Rattus norvegicus: one gene and its partners. The protein of the gene in region 2 interacts with the protein of the main gene of each other region in a pairwise test. Links are inferred from orthologs where the notes say so. Each region holds a gene or a part of one and is shown on either strand. Other genes may lie near its edges.

The links.
Region 1: the proteins of Cdkn1b (region 2) and Ccna1 interact in binary tests that used the Homo sapiens proteins (3 or more experiments, as listed by UniProt). The link is inferred for Rattus norvegicus from reciprocal best matches to the Homo sapiens genes CDKN1B and CCNA1.
Region 3: the proteins of Cdkn1b (region 2) and Ccnd2 interact in binary tests that used the Homo sapiens proteins (3 or more experiments, as listed by UniProt). The two-hybrid records come from large-scale screens. The link is inferred for Rattus norvegicus from reciprocal best matches to the Homo sapiens genes CDKN1B and CCND2.

What each region holds. Positions count from the first base shown.
Region 1 is NC_086020.1:141,383,192-141,386,841, forward strand, and holds the end of Ccna1 (cyclin-A1), read right to left. Parts: intron 3,143-3,650; coding exon 2,938-3,142; intron 2,033-2,937; coding exon 1,919-2,032; intron 816-1,918; coding exon 682-815; intron 404-681; coding exon 352-403; coding exon of another isoform or gene 278-351; 3' UTR 162-277; downstream 1-161. UniProt on the Homo sapiens protein: May be involved in the control of the cell cycle at the G1/S (start) and G2/M (mitosis) transitions. May primarily function in the control of the germline meiotic cell cycle and additionally in the control of mitotic cell cycle in some somatic cells.
Region 2 is NC_086022.1:169,490,347-169,494,096, reverse strand, and holds the start of Cdkn1b (cyclin-dependent kinase inhibitor 1B), read right to left. Parts: upstream 2,594-3,750; 5' UTR 2,557-2,593; exon of another isoform or gene 2,221-2,556; 5' UTR 2,182-2,220; coding exon 1,707-2,181; intron 1,177-1,706; coding exon 1,058-1,176; 3' UTR 1,049-1,057; intron 1-1,048. UniProt on the Homo sapiens protein: Important regulator of cell cycle progression. Inhibits the kinase activity of CDK2 bound to cyclin A, but has little inhibitory activity on CDK2 bound to SPDYA. Involved in G1 arrest. Potent inhibitor of cyclin E- and cyclin A-CDK2 complexes.
Region 3 is NC_086022.1:161,652,439-161,655,526, forward strand, and holds the end of Ccnd2 (G1/S-specific cyclin-D2), read right to left. Parts: intron 1,307-3,088; coding exon 1,157-1,306; 3' UTR 610-1,156; downstream 1-609. UniProt on the Homo sapiens protein: Regulatory component of the cyclin D2-CDK4 (DC) complex that phosphorylates and inhibits members of the retinoblastoma (RB) protein family including RB1 and regulates the cell-cycle during G(1)/S transition.

The sequences.
Region 1 (3,650 bases), on a different chromosome or scaffold from region 2:
GGATAGGAAAGGCTTGGCCGCCTCAAAGCACTTAATCATCAAAGTGTGGGATGCTTATGCAACCAACTTGGGAAGGTGTTGACACAGCTACGATATAACTCGCAACTAAGATGCCTGTTGTGTCAGCTATGCCAACTAGTAAAGAGGCCCAACACATGGCCACACAGCAAGTTGTTTATTCTTTTAAAATACCTGTCTATATCTATATAAATTATAAACTACCGACGTCTAAAAGAACCTAACACTCATATGTTGAAGGTGACATCTACAACTGACATTAGTTGGCCCGACCCGCAGAAAACTGTAACAGGTCAGAGTAAGCCTGCTGGTGTGGCTGTTGAGCTGACCCGTTCACTGCAGGGGAAGAACTACGGGTGGCTCCATGAGGGACACGTGCAGGTACCTGAAACGAGAGCACAGCCAGGTCAGCCCAGGGCCAAGGATGCCAGTTAGGCTACAGAAAACCTCCAGCAGTCTGAAGGGTCAGAAGGAAGCCAGCTAACTATAACTGCCAAACGCTGGCAAACTGTGAATCTAGCTAGATCTTCCTAAATGTCTTTTCTTGACTTAGCGAGCAACCTTGTTTTCCAACCTAATGAAAGATAGAATTTATTCTACTTCTTTTTGTTGTTCTGATTCCACAACAACCCAGAAAGCAAGGAAGGGAGAGTGCCCACTTACTTCGAAGCCTTGTACTTCTCCCTGATTGCTTGCTGCGGTCGATGGGGTATACTGAGGCATGCTTTATGCAGCTCACTCAGGCAAGGCACAATCTCATTTAATGAATAGCCCGTAAATGCAGCAAGTGTTTCTGGCTAATTGAAACGAAAAGGAAATTTTGCTTCACGTAACTTTATAAGAGGTTAGAAATCTGAACATAACTGCTTATGAAGTGAAGGGTGAAGTGAAATTCTTGGTGAGCAAGTATATCCATCCAGAAAGATTCATAACCCCTTCCTTTAGAAACCTTACACTAGAACCAAACAGCCTGGGTTCTAAACTGGCAGGAGTATAGTTGTAACCCTCAGTGTAGAGGCAGACCACTGTTCTTGATCCTATGTGGGTGGGGCTTTCACTGATTCTTAATAATTTACACTAAATATGAGAGATTGCATAGAATAGAGATCCCTAGTCAAAAGACAACCCTTGATAGGAGGAGAAAAGTTCTCCTCTGACCTACATCTCTCTCTGTCTCTCTCTCTCTCTCTCTCTGTCTCTCTCTCTCTCTCTCTCTCTCTGCCTCTCTCTCTCTCATACACACACACAAACACATGTGCATGCAGATAAATACATTTTTTAAAAGAGTTATCTAGTATCATAAGAAATAAAAGTAGATAACTCATTTCTTTTAGCACTCCGAGAAAATTTAGAATAAAATGTAGGGATCTGTTTCTGATCTTTCTGCCTTCTGAGGCAAGAAACAGTCATTACTGAACTTGGAGGGGTTTTGTTGTTGTCGTTGTTACAGAAGCTGAATGCTACTAATGTTTGTTTTATTGAGATGGTCTCCCTCTGAGACCCAGACTGGACTTGGACTAACAATCCTCCTGCCTCCACCTCACAGGCACTTATAATATAGGTGTGCACCACTCCAGCTGTCTAGGATCAACTTTAGCTTGGCATGGCCAATGGCTAAGCCTCAAGGCCCTCTATGCATATTTTGTTGGGCACTGAGGTTCCCAGGCCTTCCTGATTCCGTGCTATTTCTGCTTCCCACAGAGCAAAGCCATGGCATCAAAGCCATGGTGACTGATCTAGAAGACTCAGAAACAAGCTGTGGTCTGCTGCCATGACAACCAGCTATCATGAAAAAAACTTTCCCTCAGAAGGCTTGTGTCCATTCTGAATCTTGAACTCACTGAACAGATTTTGTATGAACTTTGAATGTGTTCTACTTAGGAAGAAGACAGAAACGTACCCAGAAGTGTCTGTTCACAATATAGTTTGCCAGACAGTAAGCTGCTGCTGCTACCAAGGAAGGAAGATACTTCAAGAATGGGTCAGCTTCCAGAAGGCTCAGTTCTGCAACATACTAAGGGCAAGAGAGAAAAATCTCAGTGGAGTAAGAAATTTGAGCAAGGTCCAATTTGACTAAAATTGTCAGTAAACCTGGAATTGCCAAACTCACCAATTGGTTCCTTATTTTCATTCCCTCAGAATCTAATGATGAGCCCCAAACTTAAGCCAGGTATATTTCCTAGTTCCATAGTTGCTCTGACTGTCCTTCGACTGACTAATGTTTGTGTTGTGATGATGTTCCCATACCCTATCTCACCCACACGGCATATGTGATAGGTTACTTCTCTTATCTAGTAGATCAGGCTTTACGGTGGTCAGATAAGGGAGTATTGAGCTCACATCTCAAATAGAAAGAGTCATTAGCCAGGAGGCAAAGAAACAGCCATACTGAAGCTAGCAATGGCTAGGCAAATTGATACAGTTCTCAAGCTCAAGCAATGCCATTGGAGACGTGTCAGGAGAATGCAGGGAAATCTTTGTGGTCATCTTTATTACTCTTTGAATAGCGTGTGTTTCACAGATTTCCCATGGCAAGCTCACTGGCTAGGACAGAGTGCTAATAATTCCAACTAAGTGCCTCTAGATCAAAATGGCTGCAGATTTCGTGCTGCTTTATTTCTTACTGAATTAGAATAAGATTCAAACAAAACCCAGCCACGTTTTACCTTGCTCCCAAGTTAAAAGGCGCTGCTCGCCTGCGGTCTGCATCTCTCAAGGGAGCTTACCGTGCTTAAGAGTCTTTGATAGTCGGGAGCTACGTGACTGGGACCTGCCAGTACCATCAACAGCAATGTCTGGTGAGCAGGCATCGTGTTTTTAAGACAACTGCCTTTCACCTCTACAGAGATGGAAACCCGGGAGGGATGGGCGTGGAAGGTGGTTGGAAAGGTGGCTGTCCCCAGAAGTCCTGTGGCATACCTTGGCCAAATTCTCAGTCCTGATGCACACCCCTTGCCGCCTTAAGTACTGAAGGAGGAACTGGTTGGTGGTTGGAACGGTCAGATCGAATGCCAGGACTTTCAGCAGCAGATGCTCCATCCTCAGTAGCTGTCGCTTTGTGTACGTGTCGTCAGTGATGTAGACAAACTCATCGACATCGGGCGGGTATATCTCTTCGTATTTCCTGGGGGGCGGGTAAGGAATTATCAGGGGGAAAGTTTGGAACGGTCGTCTCTAGCTCCTGTCCTCTCGCATGGCCCTGGAGGCTTATTCACTTTATACTGCCATTGCCACAGAACCATCAGAGAACTGTGTGGGCTATAAACATACTGTGAGCTTTTTCTCAGTCCGCGAGAGTACCGCAAGGGTATGGTATACTAACTGCTGGGAACTGTGACAGGTTGGGGACTTTGAAACACTGACTAGGTCTAAAGGACACATGCTTCAGCTGGATCCCTGTTGGTTGAATAGATATTGGGTCACTTTGTGAGAAGAATGTTAGGATCAAACCAATAACAGAAAAAAAACAATCCCATAGCTTTGGTGGCTTTAGCTGTGCTTTGTTTTGTTTCTGAAGACCATATTAAATTATTCAACTTCATTAGTTAGCAAAGGATACTGAATCACCAAGAGAAAAATAACAATATAATTTCATTATTGTCCTCCTTCCCCTCTGCTTTCTTTATGGCCAG
Region 2 (3,750 bases):
GTTACTCTAATTAGGCAAGTGGGGTGATGAGATTTTGACACATGGAAAAATCCACACTTGTGCTGGACCTTCTCAGTTGGTCCTAACATCTACCATCCATTTCCCCTATAAACATCCAAACCATCCTGTTCCAGCACAATTAGCATACGGCGCTGACGTGTTAGAGGACTGCTTCCTCTGGCTGCTCATTTAACTTCTGCTTTGTAACCTCAGGGTTAAAATCAGAAATTCTGTGGGAGCGTTAGTACTTCTGAACTTTCCATTCTAATTTTTTTTTTTTAAAGTCCCTTTCTTACTCTCCAAAATTTACCAGCATACAAGGAAAGGCACAACTTTAAAAAAAAAAAAAATTAAAAAAAAAGTACAGGGAGGTGGTGGCAAAATGCCTCTGATCCCAGCATTCAGGAGGCAGAGGCAGAGGCAGCCAGATTTCTGTGAGTTCAAAGCCAGCCTGGTCTACAGAGCAATCTCCAGGGCTGTTTGTTAACACAGAGAAACCCTATTTCGAAAAAAAAAAAAAAAAAAAAAACAAACCCAAAAACCAAAACAAAAGCAGAAGAACACAAGACACTCCTAACCAAACCTGCACTACGTGTACCTGGTTTTTCTTTTAAGAATATAAACGTAATTATATATTTGCCATTTTTCTATGGTTCAAACGGCTCAAAATAGGTTATTGGCTGAAAACGAACCTCTGGGAAATGGGTTCTCATGAAGTGAGAATGGGAAGGAAAATTGTCATTTCCAGCTTAAGTTTTAATGGGATTCAGAAGGATATAACTTTCCCTATCCTTTGGGGCCTTGGTGGCAAGTTCTTGGGACACTCATTCTGGTTCCATTTTAAGGTAAACATCTTGGGATACAAATACTGCATACAGTCCCCTCAAGTGATTCCAGCCTTCCTCAGTGTTAATTTTTTGACCTAGGAAAGTAATTCCTCCTGGCAGGCAAGTAATCTGCCAGCAGTTCTGGGGTCTGCAGCCCCCCCCCCCCGGGGGAGCGCAGCCCAGCTAGGGTGTCAGTTTTGTGCTCTTCCTCATTAACCCACCGGAGCTGTTTACGTCTGGCGTCGAAGGCCGGGCTTCTTGGGCGTCTGCTCCACAGTGCCAGCATTCGGGGAACCGTCTGAAACATTTTCTTCTGTTCTGTTGGCCCTTTTGTTTTGCGAAGAAGAATCTAAGAGGGGGGCAAGGGGAAATTTTTAAAAGAACACACACAAACCATCTTTATTATCGAGAACAATGGCTGACAGAAGTTGGCCCAAGAGTCAGGGGATGATCAACCCACTACCTCCACCCACGACCCCAGGACCCGTCATCCCCGGTAGCCTCTAAGGACACAAAATGAGGTTGTTTCCACTAACACAAGGAGTATTCTACGCCCCACGTCTCTTTTTCTCCCCCTAGCCAAGAAGGAGGCAGTTGGTAAACATCCTAACTTTTGTCACATATCTACAGCTGGCTAGAGGGGAGGAACTGTGACGCGTTAGGCTGGGGAAGTTATCACATCTTACTATCTCCGGCTTCTGACTTCAAAATCATAAACAGGCCAGGCAGTCAGCTGGGGGTATTTCAAACCTAAGCATCAAACAGGCTCGATCTCCCAGAACTAAAGCAGAACACGCAGGAAAAAGCAAGCGAACAGGGTCTAGCAAAGAGGAGCTACGGAGACAGACAGACATTTTAAGTTTTCCAAAGAATCATCACCTTCTGCCGCAGGTCGCTTCCTCATCCCTGGACACTGCTCCGCTAACCCAGCCGGACTGTCTGACGAGTCAGGCATTTGGTCCACCAAATGCCGGTCCTCAGAGTTTGCCTGAGACCCAATTGAAGGCACCGCCTGGCGGCTCCCGCTGACATCCAAGCTCTCCTGCGCCGGCACCTTGCAGGCGCTCTTGGGGGGGCGCGGGGGTCTGTAGTAGAACTCGGGCAAGCTGCCCCTCTCCACCTCCTGCCACTCGTATCTGCCCTCCAGGGGCTTATGATTCTGAAAGTCGAAATTCCACTTGCGCTGGCTCGCTTCTTCCATATCTCGGCAGTGCTTCTCCAAGTCCCGGGTTAGTTCTTCATGATTGACCGGGCCGAAGAGGTTTCTGCAGGCGGAAGGCTTGGGGTGCTCGGTTTGTCTGGCGTCCATCCGCTCCAGGCTCGGGCTCCCGTTAGACACTCTCACGTTTGACATCTTCCTCCCCGGGCGGGTGTGGACCACCGCCTCGCCTCTCTCCGAAAAAAAAAAAAATGAAATGAAATAAACAACAAAACCAAACAAAAGCGAAACGCCCCTGCCGCAGCGCAAACCCCACTTCGAAGTTCTGCGACTGCACACAGAGACGGCCAAGTGGAGTAGAGCCAGGCGAGCGACCGTCCGAGCCGCAAGAGCGCGCAGGTCTTGGGGAGAGAGGCGCAGGGACGCCCCGGCCGCGCAGCTCGAAGCTTCAGTGATCAAGTGTACTGGAGGGCGGGGAAGGGAGGGGAGGAGGCAGGAGGAGGTGGCAAACAGTCGGAGTGTAGGCTGGGGCGAGCCCGTGGGTCCCGCGAACGCAGCCCCTCTCCAAACCTTGCCGCCGCGCAAGTCTCGGAGCCGCGAGTGAGTCGGGACAAGGGATGAGGGGGGAAAAACACCCCGAAAGCACGAGCCCCCCTCCTTTTTTAGTTGCCCAATATGGCGGTGGAAGGGAGGCTGACGAAGAAGAAGATGATTGACAATGCAAGTCTATTTAAACAGAGGAGGAGCTCCATTGGTCTGGGCGCCGGGAGCGGCTCCGCCCAGGCTGGCGAGCGCGCTCTTAAGGTGGCCCCGGGCGCGGCGCCGCCGCCTCTCCGCGCTCCCGAGCGCGCCGCCTCCCCGTACCGCCGCCAGGACATTGGCTGGTCGCGTGACTACTCGGAGGTGTACGACTGCCAACAAACCTGCTCTGGCTGGCCCCGGAGAAATTAAAAATAAGACAAACAAACTAGCCAAACGGCCGGAGAGCTGGGGAGGGGCCAGCGCGGCGGCCAGGCGGAGACCCGGGAATCTAGGTCCGGGCGCTGTAGAGCTGCGCTGGCAGGCGCGCCACCGCTCCGGACTGCGACCTCCAGGTCTTTGCCCGCGAAACCCAGGGCCTGGGCCAGTGAGCTCCGAGGTCGCTGGCTGCTTGTTTGGAGCCTCAGTGGCTAGTTCAACCCACCTGCATTCGCCGAGGTGGGAATGAGGGAGGGTAGGCGAAAGATCCAGGAAACCTTGGCTCGGTGCCTGGGATCCCCCCCCACCCCCACTCCCCGCAGGGTGACTTAGCTAGGTTGCGGGAATCGGCCGCTTAGCCTGACCCCAGAAGTCTCTGCTAAGTAGGACAAGCCGGAGACGGCTTCAAAAAGGAACCAGGACTGACGACTCTTATCAGGGTGTTTCTGAATCCAAGCACTCCCATCTCGAGATTCAAAACCCTCAGTGCTCTCTCAAGCCTCTTCATCTGCTTTATAGCCATCAGACACTAAGTTTTGAAAAAGCCAGCTCTGATTTTTCTTGGTTCCCAAGCACAGTGGGAACCAAGTGCTTTCCAAGTGGGAAAGCCATTGCTATAGGCTGCGTGTGGGAACTCGCCTCTATAGTTTCTATACTCTGCAGTTCTTCTCCCCCAGAGCTGAAGCCGTTTCCTCCACCTGAGTCCAGACGCCAACTACAACAGCTCCTTCCTTCCTCCCCTTTTCTCTCCCACCAGCCTGTTGCTTCCAACCTACTCAGAACAATATTCAAATACAAGCAAATACT
Region 3 (3,088 bases), about 7.8 Mb from region 2:
GAGCTGTGTACCAGAAAATCAGACTCCAGAAATGAATAGTAACCGGAAGAGGTCAGGAAGGGGAGGGGCAAAGAAGGAAGGCATATTCAACATGATTTGCATAAACCATCCCATATCCCACCCCACCCTCCCCCAAAATTTTCAAAGTGCTTTTCTAGTGGAATGGTTTATAACAACATTAAACTGTGGACCAGACGCACCAATCAGCACCAAAAATTAAGAGTTTTTTTTTTCTTCTTCTTCTTCTTCTTCTTAATAAGGGATAAAAGATCACCTCACCCTCTTCCGGTTACACAGAAGCTTTGTTTTCAAAATTCCATCTGTGGTCTCCATCTGCCCCCATTAGATGAGTTTTTTTTTTGTCACGGCCCATAGCTAATTCCCTCCATCAGATAACAGTGGGAAACGTCTACAATGAACCATGTTTGGAAGAAGACGCCCAAATTCACCAAACATGAGACTTAGGAGCCAATCACCTGCGTCCAACTGGCAAAAGACATATCCCTTAGGTAGCAGCTACTGTAGTCAGCAGGAGTAGGCAACGTAGAGACCCCACCACGCTCAGTCTTGGGAACACGTGGTGAGGCATCAGGACGCTTCTTACATCCAAAATGGTTCAGTCGTGTGGTTGGGTGGTTCTGCATAACCTCCCCAGCGTGTCCCTTCTCATTTCTGATTCCTTCTTGGGTTCAATGCTTTGCAAACTACTCATGCCGCACCGGCATCCATGGTTTCTTGCAATTCTACTAAAGGGGGCATATGCACTAGTTCCCAAGCACAAGAGACAGTCTCCTCTAATTCGTTCCCATACTGCAGGTATACATGTTCTCTAGCTAGTCTGAGGGCTCTCCTGTAAGCATCTCACTAGAACTCTTACATCATCACATGATAATGGTTCGCATATACAAGGGATCCCTTTCTGCTGGACTTTGAACAGGTACCACATGTGCCTCAACTATATGGCCTTTCCCTCTCACTTCTAAAAGACCTTTAAATATGATCTAGGTGGGGGTAGATTTTGTTTTTGTTTTTGTTTTTGTTTTTTGTTTTGAACTTTCATCCTAAAACACAAAAGAACAAGACATAACTAGAGAGAGAGAGAGAAGGGGCTAGCAGATGACGAACACGCCTCTCTCTTGCCGCCCGAATGGCTTCCTCACAGGTCAACATCCCGCACGTCTGTAGGGGTGGTGGCTTGGTCCGGATCTTCCACAGACTTGGAGCCGTTGTGCTGCTCTTGACGGAACTGCTGAAGGCTGTTAAGCAGCACAGCCTCGATTTGCTCCTGGCAGGCTTTGAGACAATCCTGGAGGAGAGAGATCCAGGCCAGAGCGATTAGCACATGCAAATGCATACAATGCCTCCCAAAGGCAGACACAATCCAACTCACATCATCATTTCCCTGGGAAGGAAAACAGAAACGCTCTCAAATGGCACAGAAACTCAGTACACAAAGTGGGGTCCACAGCCGGCAGCGTCAGCACCATCTGGGATCTGGCTAGGAGCCTATCCCAGATCGAGCGGATCAGAGCTGACCCTTCTGCTGAAGCCCAGGCGTTTCCTATTCTAAACTTTGACTGGAAGGTGATCTAGCTATAAAAGTCGTTGCCTGGTCATCAAGGGATCAACTGGAGGTTTTTCTGTCTGGGAAAGGTGGCACGGAAGGTTTGGTTTCTGCAAGGTGCTATACTGTAAGCCAAACAAGCAACCGAGGAATGGATAAGAAGGGTGGTGCTTAGCCGCTTAAAGTGTCCAGAAACGAAAAATCCCTGTACCCTCTGCTCATTTACCCTGCTCTTGGACCCTTTTCACAAAAACACAACGCATAATGTTTACAAAACTCAGGACACTCCAGCTTGTCCAATTTGGGAATAAGCAAGATTTTTCAGTGCCGCCTTTATTAGTCTATATTTGGTAGGGAAAACCCAGAGTGAGCCGCCCCAGGCAGAAGATTCTATTAGCTGGGAGACTTGGAATGTGAGGGCAAGTCGCGGCTGTCACTGGGTTGGGACTAAGGCTCAGGCTAGAAGGCTGGGGGGAGGGGCGAGCTGAGGAAACTGTCCCTAGTAGGGATTTTCACCTTAGCTTCTCCTTGCACCACAAAGCAGTCAGTGCATATAAAACCGGTGTTGAGCTGAATCTCCTGGTGTCCCCTCACAGCTCAACACACACTTCCCTGTTTAGACCTCATCACCTAGAAATTGCTGGGTTTTCCCCCCCCAAACACAAAGGCATTATCTTTATTTTCTGAAGACCTGAAAATAAAATTGGCAACAACCGCCAAGGAGCAAAAGTTTCCATCTTCTACCCCCTTCCAACCTACCCCACCTCGACCTCCAGTTTATCTTTCCTATCTGCCCCTCAGTTCAAACTGTAGCTTGAAGATGAATGACAGCAGACCAAGAGCAAAGGTCAGAGGTTGAAATGTTCTCCTGAACCTAAAAGGGGTGGGAAGTAGGAGGGAGTTTGGTGCTCACTCCATGCTGGCCCGGTATAGCTCCACTTGCAAACCCCAATTTCTGTTTCTCCGAGTATAAAATAAAGCAGCAAATCAATGAATAACCAATGTTTAATGCGCGCGCGCATGCGCGCGCGCGCGCGCGCGCGCGTGTGTATGTGTGTGTGTGTGTGTGTGTGTGTGTGTGTGTGTGTGTGTGTGTGTGTGTGTATGGTTTAATGGCTCCATCTGTCCTGGAATCTGAAAGAATCCTTCGGATTTTGAGACTACATGTTTCTTGGGCTGGCTTTAATCAAGTGATGCCCCTGCCTCAGTCTCCTGAGTAGCTGAAACTTTAAGCACGCAAACGTGCCCATGTTAGGTTTCTTTGAACAAAGGTATAGATTACCAATTACTCAAGACAAGGATGTGCCACAGGTTGGTCCTAGAGAGAGTATGGTCCAGCATTGTGTGTGTGTGTGTGTGTGTGTGTGTGTGTGAGAGAGAGAGAGAGAGAGAGAGAGAGAGAGAGAGAGAGAGAGAGCGCGAGAGAGAGGGGGAGACAGACAGACAGACAGACAGACAGACATCAGGCTAATTTCAACAGTACCAAGTAAAGGACTTATGTGCCAAGGCTCTAACATCTCTAAT